Notamacropus eugenii: one gene and its partner. The protein of the gene in region 1 purifies or fractionates together with the protein of each later gene. This does not show direct contact. Links are inferred from orthologs where the notes say so. Each region holds a gene or a part of one and is shown on either strand. Other genes may lie near its edges.

The links.
Region 2: the proteins of RNF114 (region 1) and PARP12 purify together in Homo sapiens (affinity purification with mass spectrometry; 3 studies listed by BioGRID and IntAct, counting the BioPlex papers as one, with this or other methods). This does not show direct contact. The link is inferred for Notamacropus eugenii from reciprocal best matches to the Homo sapiens genes RNF114 and PARP12.

The regions. Positions count from the first base shown.
Region 1 is NC_092872.1:517,084,466-517,092,099, forward strand, and holds the start of RNF114 (E3 ubiquitin-protein ligase RNF114), read right to left. Parts: upstream 3,393-7,634; 5' UTR 3,280-3,392; coding exon 3,158-3,279; intron 1,222-3,157; coding exon 1,071-1,221; intron 1-1,070. UniProt on the Homo sapiens protein: E3 ubiquitin-protein ligase that promotes the ubiquitination of various substrates. In turn, participates in the regulation of many biological processes including cell cycle, apoptosis, osteoclastogenesis as well as innate or adaptive immunity.
Region 2 is NC_092874.1:108,950,108-108,958,136, reverse strand, and holds the start of PARP12 (protein mono-ADP-ribosyltransferase PARP12), read right to left. Parts: upstream 3,426-8,029; 5' UTR 3,336-3,425; coding exon 2,947-3,335; intron 2,596-2,946; exon of another isoform or gene 2,546-2,595; coding exon of another isoform or gene 2,469-2,545; intron 1-2,468.

The DNA.
Region 1 (7,634 bases):
CTCTGTTGACGGTCAATCTCCCATCTCCACCTACCTTTCAGACATCTTGAACTGGATATCTAGTAGGCATTTTAAACTCAACATGTCCAAAATAGAACTTATTATCTTTCTCCCTCAACTCCACCCTATTCTTACCTTCCCTATTTCTGTCAAGGACACTATCATCTTCCCAACCTAGGAGTCATCCTCAACTCTTTACTGTCTCTCACCCCACATATGCAATCTGTTGCCAAGGTCTGTTGATTTCGCCTCCGTAATATTTCTTGAACACATATGGTATGGTTCTGTCCTCTGATATTACCATCGCCCTGGGGCAGACACTTATCATTTCACATCTGCACTACTGTTAATAGCCTGCTGGTTAGTCTGCCTGCCTCAAGTCTCTCCTCACTCCAATCCATCCTCCCACTACAGTGACTTTCTTAAAGCAAATATCCAACCATATCACTTCCTTACTCAATAAACTCCATTGCCTCCCTATAACCTCCAGGATCAAATACAAAATCTTGTTTGGCATTCAAAGTTCATCATAACCCCTAGCTTTTCAGTCTTTTTACATCTTACTCTTCAACATGTAACATACTCTTAGATCTAGTGACACTGGCCTTCTGACTATTTCATTCAATTTCTGTGCCTTCCTTTTTCTAATTGTTTACTTTTCATGGTATCTATAGCTTGTCTGTACCTAACTGTTTGCATGTTTCCTCCTCTATTAGGTTGTGAACTCCTTAAGGGCTGAGATTGTCTTTTCCCTCTTTTTTGTATCCCAAGAGCCTAGCATATAGGTGCTTAATAAAAGTTTATTGAATGACCTGTTAATTCAACCTCTTTGACCATTTAGTTTTCTTTCTCCTCATAAAATAGTGATAAAATTCTCATACTACCTAAAGCCACAGCACTGCAGAAAGGAAAGCACTATTAAATCATTAAGTGCCATATAAATATCAGATTTTATTATTGTTTAGCAGCACAGCAACCACTAAGAATAAATTCCCTCACTTATTTACCAAATGAACTTTACAAAGGCACAAGCGAAAAGTAGAATGCACCATCTTGATTACTGTACATACATTTTTTTTGCAGCCAATACAGGTTGCCTCTGTTGCTTCAATTTGCCTTTCTAAATCCACAGCTTTGGTTCCCGCAGACAGAGCACTTCGACAGACTCCACAAACAGGTTTCTTCGGTTTCAGACACTGCTGCAGGCAAACAGCACAAAAGCTAAAACAGAAACAAAATGATAGAATCGAGCACATTTAGGGTTAGGGTTGACAAGAGTTCACAGCAAGGAGGGCATTCTGCATGTGTCCTCATCAGACAACAGTGGTATGCCAACTAAGGAAGATCTGATGACAGAAAATTACTTGTTATGAACAATAAACACTCCATCAATGAATAGCAATTTATCCAATGTGGTGGATTTAAGACAAAGTATTTATAATAAAATTTACCAGAAAGCTTGCAATGGCAATGTATTACCCACAGCAGCCATCCTGATAACAAGTACATTCCACTTGTATCACTTGGTATGCTACCCAGTGTTCCCCATAATTACAACTGTCCCCAGGCTTATTAAAGCAGGATTAAGCTTTTGTGGAAAGGACACATTGGATTTGGATCTGCAATAATGACCAAACATGCTTATTGAACACATGTGTAGGCCATCAAAACAGTAATTTAAGTAGATACCTAATCCCAAGGAAACAATGAAAACAGAGACCAGTCAACAAAAAATTCTAACAATAATTTCAGTTGCATAGTACTTCACTTTCACTTCTATCTCATTGAATACTCACAACAATCCTGGAAAGTAGGAAGAGTTGGGGTCATTATGCCCATTTTTCATATGAGAAAGCTGAGGCTAAGAGAGAGAATCCAGCCTCCTCAAAAACACATAGATGAATTTGTGGCAGAAAGGGACTAGAATCCAAATCTTCTGATTCACAGCCCTGTGTAATTTCTACTGTAGCAAACTACCTCTTCAAATTAACACAAAATTGTGTTCCAAAATCTTCAGTCCTTGTAAGGAGGTACAGACCACATCCCAAATGTTACCTGGCATGTGGATGATTATAAAATGATTTTAAAATCACATCCAACTAATGTCATGTTAATTTCACTGGTCTTTTTAAACAGTTTCTGTTTCGCTTTAGGCCTTCAGTTTCACTTTCCTACCATTTCTTCTCCCAGGCTCAGTACTGATGCCCCACCCACTTTTTCTATTTTGAATGCTTCAGTTAATCTTGACTCTTGGATATTAAACTAGTAGTATCCTAGGCACCAAAGTCATTGACATCCATCATAAGCATCCAAACAGGGGTTAGGAAAAGGGAAATAAACGTCACGTCCTTTGTGTCAAAGTTAAAAGTTCGAGGGCATAGAATCCGCCCGAGTTAACAACCACATTTCAAAGGGCAGTTTGGTGACTTTCCCTGGTTAGGGTCGAGTAGAAAGCACACTTAGCTCACCGGAGTTCACTTTATCAACTTGACAAAAAGCCCCTCACCGCCTCCTGTCTGTTTCCCTCTCCTCTCCTCCTTCCACATTTCTTTTCATAGAATCACAGACTATTTCTGCTCAGCATTTCATCACTCCCTTTTCTCTCTCCCCTTAACCTCGGTCTACTTCAATGCCCACCCCAATGGGGCGACAGCCAGCCACCCCCTTTCCCCTTTTCTTCAGACCTCCTCTCTCACCCCCAGTTCTCTTCCCTCAAACCCCGCTCCCTCTCCTACGTCCGAGGTGCACCTCCACCCCGCAGGATTTCCCTCTGCCCCGAACCACAAGATCATCCTTTTAGACCTCAAGTTTCTAGATGTCATTGAGTTCATTCCACTCCTTTTACGGATGAAGAAAGGGGGACCCACAGAAGTTAACTTGACTTCACCCCAAGGTCACACAGCTGGGAAGGTCTGACCCTAAGTCCCCCTTCCCCTCCCCCCGACCTGGGTCCCACCATTTAATCTTCACTCCCTTTCTCTCAACGGTCCTCCCTCGCCTCTCTCGGACCCCGGCCCCCAGGCTCTCGCACTCCCTCCCGCCCTCCTCAGGGTCTGTCTCTCCGCTCACAACTCGCTCAAAGTAGCCCCCAGCCTCAGCCAGAGCCCCGGGCCCGCTCCAAGGGCAGTCACCTCCCTTCAGCCCCCTCCCCGCTTACATGTGTCCGCAGGGCGCCCGCTCCGGCTTCTCGTACACCTCCAGGCACACCGGGCACGTGAAGCTGGACAGGGTGTTCGCCGCCGCCACCCCAAACAGCTCCGCGCCACCACCCAGCGCCATCTTGTCCTCCCCCAGCGCTCCTCAGAGAACAGAGCGACGGCGGCCGGGAAGTGGGAGCGAGGAGGGGGCGGGGAGGAGGAGGAGAAAGGGGAGGGACGAGGAGGGGGCGGGGATAGGGGCGGGGATAGGGATGGCAGGGCGGTGATAGGGGTTTAGGGGCGGGGACAGGGGCGGAGGGGCGGGGACGGGAGCGGGGGTGGGGGGGGGCGGGGATAGGGATGGCAGGGCGGTAATAGAGGTTTAGGGGCGCGGACAGGGGCGGAGGGGCGGGGACGGGAGCGGGGTGGGCGGGGATAGGGGCGGAGGGGCGGGGAGGGGCGGGGATAGGGGCGGAGGGGCGGGGACGGGAGTGGGGGGGCGGGGATAGGGGCTGAGGGGCGGGGGAGAGGGAAGAGGAGGAAGAATGTGGAGCAATCATAATCCTAATCAATCATCATTTTATACAGTGTGTCCCAAAAGCCTCAGTGCAGTTTTACACTTCGGTGGCTTGAAGTTTCAGCGTCAGTGACTTACAGCTGCTCTGACTTCTGGGACACTACAGAGTGCACACATGGTCTCCTTTTATTCTTAGGTATTATTATCCCCATTTTACAGACGAGGAAACAGGTTAAAATGACTTTCCCGGGGCCAGGTTTCTGTCCAGTTCATCAGCTAGTGTGTAGGATAATGGCCAGAGGACGGCTTCCGAGCCAGGCAGAGCCGGGCTGGAGCCCTGCCCCGTCCAACAGCCTCTCTCCTGCTCTCCCGCTCAGCTCCGGCGTCCCCTCAGCACCTCCAGGAGCGGAGAAGATCCTCTGCGAGCCTTTGTTCAGAGCCCCTCACCCCCAGTGCTGAACGGGCGCGCACACACACACACACACACACACACACACACACACACACACACACACGCATACACATATACACACACGCATACACACATACACATACACAGACTCACACACACTCACATACACACACATACACACACACATACACATATACACACAGACACGCAGACACACATACACATTCACACATGCACATACACATACACACACTCACACACATACACACATTCACACACACGCGCACAGATACACAGACACACAGACACATACATACACACATACACATACACACACATTCACACACATACACACACACGTACACACACAGATACACAGACACACATACACATACATACACACATACACATACACACACATTCACACACTCATACATACACACACACAGACACATTCACACACACATACACACATTTCTCATTGTCTTAGACTACAAATCTTGTCCTCCCATACATATTCTGCAATCCACATGTTCCTCTTTGCTGTTCCCCTTGATTCTACTGCCTTCACTCTGTTGACTATTTCAAATTTATCTTATCTATTCATACTTGTTTTCATGTTGTCCCCTTCATTTGACAGTGATCTCCTTCAGGGCAGCGATTGTCTTTTACTTTTCTTCGTTTTACCACAATTAGCCTTGTTGACTGAATGACTGACATGTATATTCATATACTAGTGACCTAGCATCAATCATTTAATTTGTCAGTGTTTTAAGCAGTTCTCTGTGACTACAAGTTGCAGAGAAACTACTGACCTGCATTGTAGAGGGAGTTCTTCATTTGGGATTTTCCTATCCCAGTGAGATCACAGGCACAGTCCTTATCTCTATTTGATTGTTAGAACAATTTTCCTTACCTCAACAAATCTGGGTGATGCTTTTAACTTTTCAAGGGACACATTGGCTTATTTTGTCCCAATTTCTATTGGCGGGGTTATACCAGTGTTCTCAAATGTTTTGGTCTCAGAACCCCTTTATAGTCTTAAAAATTATTGAGGATCCTTCAGAGGTTTTATTTATATATTTATGTATTATAAAAATAGGGGATTATTATTTTGTCCCAATTTTGAAAAGAAGAAAGAGTATGGATTCTGCAGACTATAGGCTAGCAAGTTTGACTTTGATTCCTATGAAATTCTAGGAGGAATGACTAAAGACAGGGTTTGTGCAACTCTAGATAAGGAGAATACAAAAGAACCAGCATGGCTTCATTAAGAATAGATCATCCCAAACCAACCTTGTTTCCATGTTTTTTGATGGGATTACTAAACTAGTAGATGAGAGAAATGTAATGGACATAATTTACACCTTTATTTTAGAAAAGTGACAAAATATTTCATGCTATCCTTATTGAAAAGATGGAGAGATAAAGGCTAGATGAAAGTGCAAATACAAGGCTTCAGATGCAGTTAAATGGCTAAACTCAGAGAATAGTTCATTGTTCTATGTCAGCCTGGAAAGAGAGGGCCAAAGAAGTGCCATCTGTGATTGTATGTCATGTGTCATGTCCGTCTGTGACTGACCCCATGTTGTTTCACATTCTTATCGATGACTTGGTTAAAGGTGTAGGTGGCACAGTTATCAAATTTTCAAGTGACCTCCAAGTCAGGAGGTACAGCTAACTAACAAGATGGATGATGCCCAGATTCCAAAAAAATCTTGACAAGCAAGACAAATTGAAGATGAAATGTAATAGAGATAAAAGTAGATTTAGTCCAGCTTATGGATTTCAGAAATTAACTTCAAATAATCTATTTGAGAAATTAGTTTCTAAGATGTGGGAGACCTGGTTAGAGAGCAGTTTGGAAAAGATCACTGTTACAATTTCCCTGGTCTGTTGGGGGAATTGGAGTCTCCCCAGGAAGTGTCTCCCCTGGTCCCCAAGGCGTTGCCAGGGTGTAGCTGGAGCAGGGAAGGGGACAGGGGACATTCGAAGAAGCTAGAAGGGGAGCACCAGGGTGGGGCTGTGAAACAGAATAATTGAACCTGGGCACCACCTCTTAACAAAGCTGTGGAATGAAAACAATGGGGCTTTTTCTAGTCTCTAATACCCCCCTACAGAAACATCCAAGTCATTTCAAAAGTTATGAACATTGCTAAATGGCCTCAGAAGATGTGGATTGGTTACAAGATCTACTCATGTGCTGCCAAAACTTCGGTCCAGAAGTGATTTTCAAACAAACAATACAGCTGCTAAAAGAAAAATATTCCCAAAGGATCATGGACAGCCAACCTCTCCACAGATTTCCTCCTTCTTCCTCCTGAAACCATACCCAAAGAGATCACCCTGCAGAGCAACAGTTAACAAATTCCCAGACTGAAATGATCAGCACTTAGATGCTTCCCAAGAAAATGTACCAGTGAGGCCTACTGTGACAAATCCTGAAACCTAATACAAATTCACAGTTTCTCAAATGGAGAAGTCCCCATCTGCCTATCAGAAACAGCTGACAGAGGCTAATGTAGAGGAGAACTGGAAGTCTAAGACATCATCACATTTACAGAAAATCCTTAACCTGACTTTCCTGGAGGAAGTTTTGGACCTTGTCAACTCAAAGTTTATCATCCACAAAGTATACAGTGTTGGTAAGCAAGGACCTGTCAATCTTATGGATAAATTCAAAGAATTTCCTTTTTGGGTACTCTATCAACCATGAAATGCTTAGCAAATTGCCCTAGTTGTTCAAACTTCAAGCAGTGCATGTATTCAGATTTGAAAAATGTCTTTAAATCTACAGTAGATAATTAATATGTCTCTTAAAGGAACATCTGCTCATGCTTCAGATTTTTGATGCCTTTGTCAGTGTACTGGATTTGTTACGGAAACAGAAAATTGTTATTGAAGCATGTCAGATTTACTGTCTCATCCTACCTTCTGAAAATCAGAGGAAGTTACAATTGTTGATGAGGATGATGTTGAAGATCTGTTTAAAAGAGAAGATGCCACAGTTCTATGATGGCCTTGGCGCCCATACTCTCATGGTTCAGACTTTTCCACATTGCATCCTGTTCTTCAAGGATGAAGTAGATTTGGATGACCTATTAGCTTCTAGGCTAGTGACATTTCTGATGGACAAGCTTCAGGAGATCTTGCAAGTTCTCTCTTCCTTGAAGAATTTGGTAGAGGAGCAAGTAGTTCATCTAAAAGGGTCCAGATAAAGTACCCAGGAACAGATACTGATGTGACTCTGTCTGCAGATTAGTCCAGAAGAATTTTAATACCAAATCCCTGGTAATATCATTGAAGGAAATAATAATGGATATAAGTCAGTGAAGAATAGAATGAAACTAACAAACTAACTAAAGGAGTTCCAGAAATTCTTTCCTAAGAGTCTATCAAGAATGATTTCCCACACCAGAAAGTGAAGCACTGGTATTTCCAGAAAATCAAGATTGAAACCACAGCTGCTGATGTGGGCTCTGAAAAAGCTTTTTCAGTCTTTTCAGCCTTTTCAAAGAACTAGACATTTTTGAATGTAACTAACTCTAAAGTCATTAGTAATCTGTTT
Region 2 (8,029 bases), on another chromosome or scaffold:
AAGTAAATAATTTAGTCTCTCTGGGCCTCAGCTTCCTTCACTGTAAAAATGAAGGGGAGCTTTTTAAGGTCCCTTCCAACAACTACAGAAATCTATGTTTTGACAACTCTACAGTGTCTTTTTACTCAAAACACTCATATCACTGCCCTCGTCTGCCAAAAGACAAAGCATTGTTACAAGGAAGGAGAGATAGGAAAAATCTGAAGGTCTTTTATTCTTTGAGGGAGAGGAGTTTTTTTAAGCTACAAAATTCCACCCAATGCCAAAATACCCTTACTAAAAATAACTCATTCATACAGTACTTTAAAGGACTCCCTGCCACGTCCCCAATTTGGTGAAATAAATTGTCAAAAGTCCTCGCCTCAGACTACACAAACAACTGCCAAGATGATAAGGATCTTTAAATCAGCCATGACCAGGAAACATCTGGGAATTTGCCAAAGGTCAACCTGTAATCTACATTTTTCTCTAATGTGATCATTTTTCCAACTCGCACAGGATTCCCACTGGTCTGGCAGTCCTTGTGAACTAATATCTTGGTAGTTGAACGATCAAGTGTTTATTAACAACCTAATCACGGATCCAGGAAATGGATTCTAATGACGGAAACATGAAGGACACACATGTATGTATACATACAGAATATACATGGATACACAAACATGTGGGCATGTGTGTATGCATATATACATATACACCCACAACATAGAGCTTCAATACAAATAAATGCAAAGTAGTTAAACATAAGGCAATCTGAGGGGAGAGCACCAGCGCTTGAGGGGATGCTGAAGGTGTCTGAGCTGCGTCTTGAAGGAAGCTGGGAATTCTGTGAAGTAGAGATGAGGAGAGAGTGGACTTCAGGTATGGGAGACAGCCACTACATAGGAGATGGAGTGTCTTGCATGAGAAACCAAGAGAAGGCCAGTTTGGCCTGACCAGAGTACACAAAAGTCAGGAATGAATAATGATGCAGGACAGAGAGGTGGGAACATGGTTATAAAAGACTTTATGGTTTATTCTGGAGACTATAAGGAACTGCTGGACTTTACTGAGCAAAGGAGAAACTTGGTGAGATTTCAGCTTAATGAAAATCATTTTTTTGCATTTGTTGTTGTAAAGATAACTGGAAAGGAAATCAGGAGAACCGGGGGCCTGACTCTGCCACTTTGTGATCTGGGGAAATTCCCTTGGAATTATTAATCACAGACTCATTAAAGCTGAAAATAATCTGACAGGTCAGTGTTCCCAAACTATACTATAGATCGCCCACATTCCAGATCAATCAATAAGCTTTTTTCGGGGGGAGGAAGCAATCAGGGCTTCAAGACTTGCCCAGGGTCTTACAGTTAATAAGCGTCTAAGGCTCCATTTGAACTCTGGTCAGCCTGACTCTGGTGCTCTATCCACTTTGGCACCTAGCTGCCCCCATCAACAAGCATTTAAGTAGGTACTCTGAGCCAGAAACTGGGTTAGGTACTGGATAAAAAGGGAAAAAAATGAACCCACAGGTCGGACACAGCCAGAAGATAGAGCCACCATACTGGAGCTAGCACCAGTCTCTCCCTGACATCAACAGGGAGAATGATACCATTCATCCAGGTTCCCTTCCATGATAGATATGACTGAAAAGAGGAGAGGAAGAGGAGTCTTTAGCTACCTGGCATGTGCCAGCCTGCCACAGAAATGAGAGATGGGGGGCCGGAACAATCCCACAACCAGGCGTGGACTGGGGCAATCTGAGCAAGTGAGAAAGACAGACACAAACAGAAAGACAGATGAGTCAGTCTAGACAGAAAGGCATCATCCAGGCCTTGGAGGTCTGCTGGCAAGGAGGGATGGGAGGAGGGTGTACAAGGGATAGAGAATGATCCAAACAACTCTTCACTCCCTCCTTCCTGAGGGGCCAGGGAGGAGCCCCAGCTCCCACACCACCATGATGGCTCGGCTTCTCTGACAAGGACACGCCCCTTCTCCGCTGGGCCCTGCTCCTCTCTCAGTCCCTACCACCTACACCCCAAGTCTCTCCCCTGTCGTCCGCCATCCTTCCTGGCCAAGGGCAGTCCCAGCTTTAATAACAGGCTGGCTTCGATCTGGATACCAAGGCGGGGGCGGGCCTGGCACGAAGCGGGCACGGTACGCAAAAGCAGCATTACTACAGACAAATTGGGAAGTTCGTGGCTGGCTTCCAGGAGCGGGGCGGGCCGGGCCCACGGGGTCCTCAGGTCACGAAGGAGGAAGTCACGAAGGGAGCAAACCCAACGAGGCTGGGCTCGGGCTCTCCGGGCTCCAGGGCCGCACCTCCAGCTCGCTCCGGCAGCGGCTCACCTCGGGGAACACCTTTCCCACCTCTCCGGAGCACGTGGACAAGCTGCCCCGCCCTGGCGGCCCGGGCCTCAGTTTCCTCATCCGCACAACCAAGTGACGGCGGAGCCGGCCCGGCCGCAGCCCCCGCCCTGGCGTCCTCTCACCTAGCGCTCCCCCGAGCCGTGAGGACCGTGCCGCGAGCGGCCGCGGTCACGGCCCGGCCCGGCCCGACCCCCTCCATAGGGCGCCACAGCGCCCCACTGAGGCCGACTGAACGGCAGGAAGGTTAGAAGTACGGCGGGGGGGGGGGGGGGAAGGGAAGGAAAGGGGGCGGGGCCCACCGCCCCACGGCCCCGCGCGGGAGGACGCGGGATAGCGGGTGGTCACGCGACGCATTTAAAGGGGCGAGCGGCTGGAGCTTCTGACGGACCGGGTCAGCCCGGCCTCGGCTGGGAGACTGAACGGGCCCCCGGCCCTCTGGCCTCGACCTCCCCGTCGGTGGGACGCTAGAACGGCAGCGCCGGCCTCGAAGGAGGATGGAGGAGGGGGCCCGGGGGCCGAGGCCGGAGACGCGCGGCTGTGACCCCGGGAATGGCCCCCCTCCCCCGGGGCCCTCACACGCCGAGCCGGCGGGACCCTCACCCGCTGCTCGAGAACTTGCAGCTTCCGTAGACGAAGAACTTGCAGAGGTGCAGTTTCCCGCACTGCCCGCGGCAAGCGGCCGAGTAGGCGGGGCACAGCCTGGCGCCGGTGGCGGCCACGAGCACCCGCTTCTCCGGGGCCCCGCCGCCGGCGCCCCCGGCTTCCCCCGCGCCGCCCCCGGCTTCCCCGCCGCCGCCGCCGCCGCCGCCGCCGCCGCCCCCGCGCTTTCCCAGCACGAAGCGCCCCGGGGCCAGTTTGCGCAGCGACTTCTCCAGAGCATCCTCGCTAACGCCGCCCGGGAGCCGGTGACTCAGCTCCGCCAGCCCCAGGCTGCCCCCGGCCGCGCACAGGTCCTTGGTGACCAGGCTGGCCATGGCGGCCTGCGCCATGGCAGGGCGCGCTCGCTCGCTCCGCGGACCCCAGCCGCAGCCGGAGCGCGCCCCTCCCCGCCTCGGTTCGCCTCGTACCGGAAGCGGGGGCGTGCCCGGAACCGGCTGGGGAAGGGCGGGGCCAGCCCCAAATCGAAACTGAAGGCGGCCCCCGGACGGAAAACTAAACTTGCCCCCGCCCCGCTCGGGCGGGGGAGCCCCGGGAGACCCCGTAGGTCAGTGAGCGGGGTCAGGATGAACATATTATAACAATTCTGCAGGCAGGCTATGGCCCCCTCCCCCACACACTGAACTTCCCAAGCGGCCCTGACCTTCCCCCGAGGCTCCCCCCAGTCTTGGCCCCTGGCCCAGCCTTCCCGGCCGGTCACCTCCAGACTGCCCCAAGCCACTCCCCACTCCCCTTCTGTCAGGCCAGACAAATAGTGTTTAAACGACACTTTAGTGAATTCATGTAGAACCAAGGTTTGATAAGCTGGGATTTGACGTGAAGAGGAGGTCTGTGTCTTCTCGAAAGTGGGGCGATGACTGAGCAGCTGGGGGGGGGGGGGGGGACGGGGCGCGGGTCCCGGCGCCGGGAACGCCCGGGTTCCAGGCTGGCCTCGGACGCTTGCTCGCTGCGCGACCCCTTAGGACTGTTGGCCTCCACTTCCCTCGGCCGTCGGACGAGCCAGAAGAGGAAGCGCTGAGCCAGGGTCTTGACCAGGAGAACCCCAGAGGGGGTCGCCAGAGACTCAGAAGCGGTGACAGAGATGGAGCTGCGTTGGCTCGGGGACTCACCGCCCCCAGCTGCCCTCGTCCATCGGTGCTGGGGCAGGTGGATGGTGGGGTGAAGGCGAGCCAGCCCCTCCCTGTGACCTCCGTACCCATGCCTGCAAGTGCTGACCTCCAGCGATCCGCCTGTGCGCAGAACAAAGCCCTCGGAATTCTCTGCCCTGAGCGGCGTCCATGGGGTGACAAGCCCGCAGACTTCTCCTTTCAGTCCTACGTGCAGCCTCCGCAGCCAGGTTACTTGCTTCTAGAGGATTTGACGTTTTAGGCTTAAAAGTGACTTGAGCGCAGAGCCTTCCTTCACTTGCTTGATAAGGTCTGACCAATTATCTGGAAGCTCTAGTCCGTTTTTACATTTCTTAAAATTTCCAATCCATTCTTTTTAAAAAGCAGATAGAGATGGATGGATAGAAGGGTTTGGTGGCCACCCTGTTATTTAAAATGTTACCGGCTTCCCTCTCAGCGTTTTTGTGACCTCAGTTAAAACTCTCCAAAGGGCATCTACCTTACCATTTCCCCTTGATTACGATGTCCTTCTAATTCTTGAGGGACCGATTCCGGACGGGCTCTTTTTTTCTTATTTTTGGTTTCCTGTGCAACAGCTGTCACTGGGGAGAAGCTCATTTAAATTACTGTCCGTGTTTTCATCCCTGTTACAGTCCCTAGCACTAACCTTTACCATGTCTCTAAACAAAACCTCACTATTCCTGTTCTTACCCCAAATCTAACCTTAATTCTCTAGCCCTCATCTCTCTCCCTATTAGTTAACAATAATCATACCCTTGCTTTAAGTAAAGTATATATGTATGTATACATATATGTGTATATATTTGTATGGAAACAACAGAACATACAAGTCGCGCGGCTTAATTAGCGATGATACTAAGCATCACTATCACTAAACAAGCAGGAATCCTCTTACATGGGCATAAAGGAAGATGGAGCAGGCAGGGCTACTACACCTCTTTACAGGATAGCCCCCTAGTGGCTGCCACTGTCTTTGGGTTCGCCAACTCCATCTATGGGTTGTAAATTGGAGCAGAACACAGTTCCTTGTTTGTGCTTCTTGTATTTAGGAAGACCTGACTTGAAATGCAACCTCAGACACTTCCTAGCTGTGTGACCCAGGGCAAGTCACTTGAGAACCTCATTGCTTTAGTTCCCTCAGCTATAATATGGGCGTAATAACACCACCCACCTCACAGGGTTGTGGAGAGAATAATTCACCTAATTATCACAAATGAGGTATTTGCAAAGCACCTAGCACAGTGCCTGGCACAAAGTACGTGCTCTATGAATGCTTATAGCCTCCCTCTTAAATAATGCAGAATATTATGAGGGCCAGCTCTTGATGTGAGACAAAGGTGGAAGAGATAAGAGCAGAAGGCATCTGGGTGATGTGATATAAGGAGGTGATAAGAGGGAGGTCTTAGATAGTGGTCTCATTTTTTGTCAGTAAACTGAGGCAAAGTTCTTAACTGAGGGGGCTGGGGAGCCGTGGGGGTTTTGAGGAGGGATGAAAGGTCTGGAAGAACCACTATGGTGAATGAGATAAAGAGTTAACTAAGGTATATGAAAAGATTGCCTAGAAGCAGGGATGATTCTGTTGAGGTAACATAAAGGTGAGTCTCCTGTGTACAAGTCTTTGACTTCTTTTACTACTTTTTTTTGAACCACATAGTCGTAGTTGAGTCCTTTCAGTCATGTCTGACTCTTCCTGACCCCATTTGGGGTTTTCTTGGCAAAGACATTGGAGTGTTTTGCCATTTCTTTCTCCAGCTCACTTTACAGATGAAGAAACTGAGACAAACAGGGTTAAGTGACTTGCCCGGGGTCACACGGCTAGTAAAATTCCTAAGGCCAGATTTGAACTCAGGAAGATGTCTTTCTTGACTCCAGACTGGGCACTGTATCAACTGTACCACCTAGCTGCCCTCCTGAACCATGCTGTCCATGTATTACTCAACACCCTCACCTTCTCCCCAACTTTGCTTTGAAATTACTAAGTATCAGAATTTTTGGGATTTGGAGGTTCTTATCCAACTCTTCAAAGAATTTATCATTTCATCCTCTTCATCTGACATTGGCGTATAGACTGAAGTTATTTTAATGATGGTCTTTTAACAAACAGAACTGCAATCAGAGATGACCAAATAGCCCCATGAACCAGTGTTTCTCTTTGCCTTTCAACTGTCAACTCCTTTCCTTGCCTCTCTAAGACTACCTGTAAACAACCTCCCAATTAGCTGTGACTTCTTTCTTTTGGTTTTGTTAACAGCAATGATGTTGATTGGTATCATTTAGCTCTTCCAGCAGTACATCTGCTTATTGGCCACCAAGCAGAGATGTTAATACTTAGAATACCATTTTTCTTGTTTTTTTTTTTCAATAGGGACATAGAGAGGTAGGAGACAATACAGATCTTCATGAAAACAAAATTGAGTAAAAAAACAACTATGTGATTCTTAGTACCCTTTATGCCCTTCCCCTCTATCCTGCCACTGTCACTGGGTGGATGTGGAAGAGGACCATAAAGGATGGAGGGAAATTATGCATTTTAATGTGTTGCATGTGTTCCAAGAATTCATGAGCCTCCTTGGTACTTGGATCCCTGAAAAGCAAAGCTGATCTATTCCAAGGAGTGTGACCAAAGCTTTTCCAACAGGGTAAAACCTGCCAGAGCTAAGGCTGTGTTGACATAGTCTTGGAGAATCCAGGATCATTCCATGTAGTGACAAGGCATTAGAGTAGAATTTTGTGGATTTAGTTAATTAAAATATTCTCCCTATAATGATTTTGTGTAGTTTATCAAAATAACAACTGTTATTTTGTTATTCCTTTAGAGTATTTACAAAAGTCACCAACTAATTATTGAAATTTGAGATTCCTTTTGGGTTTCATAATCTGATAATCTTCATGCATCCATGCATCTATTCCTCTCATTCAACATGCTAGGCATGCTAGGCACAGTGCATATGAATTACAAAGACAAAAATGAATTAGTCCTTGACTTCAAGGAGCCTGTATTCTATTTAGAGAAAAAATGTGCATAGAAAATTAAATAGAAAGTCTATAAAAAGTAATTTCTGGGAAGCAGGCCCTTACAAATGGTTTCATTTTAGAGGGGGTACTTGAACTGAGCTTTGAAGAAGACAGGGATCCATGATGTGGAAATGAGGAGAAGGTGAATTCCAGGATGGAGGAACAATCTGTGAAAAAGCATGGAAAAACTATGCCCAAAGGGCTATGAAACCATGCAATGGTTTTGACCCAGCAATACCAACAACTAGGCCTGTATCTCAAAAGGATTTGTTTTAAAAAGGAAAAAGACTCATATGTACAAAAATATTTATAGCACTTCTTTTAGTGGTGAAAAAGAATTGGTAATTGAGATGTCCGTCAACTGACAAATGGTTAAACAAGTTATGGTATACTATAAGAATTGATGAACAGAATGCTCTCAGAAAAACGTGGAAAGACAGGAACTGATGCAAAGTGAAATGAGCATAACATTGAACTCAGAAACAGTAGTGTTGTACAGTGATCAACTGTGAATAACTTAGCTATTCTCAGCAATGCAATGATCCAAGACAATTCCAAAGGATTTAAGATGAAAAATGCTATTCATCTTCAGAGACTGATGGAGTCTGAATGCAGATTGAAGCTTACTTTTTTCTTTATCTTTCTTAGTTGTGTTTTCTTTCACAACATGACTAATACAGAAATGTATTTTGCATGGCTGAACATGCATAACCTATCAAATTGCTTGCTTTCTCAACGAAGGGTGAGGAGAGGAAGAAGAGAGAATTGGGAACTCAAAGTTTTATAAAACAAATCTTAATTATTTTTGCATGTAATTGGCAGAAAATAAAACATTGAATAAACTTTTTTTTAAAGTGAAAAGGCATGAAAAAGAATGAGTATAA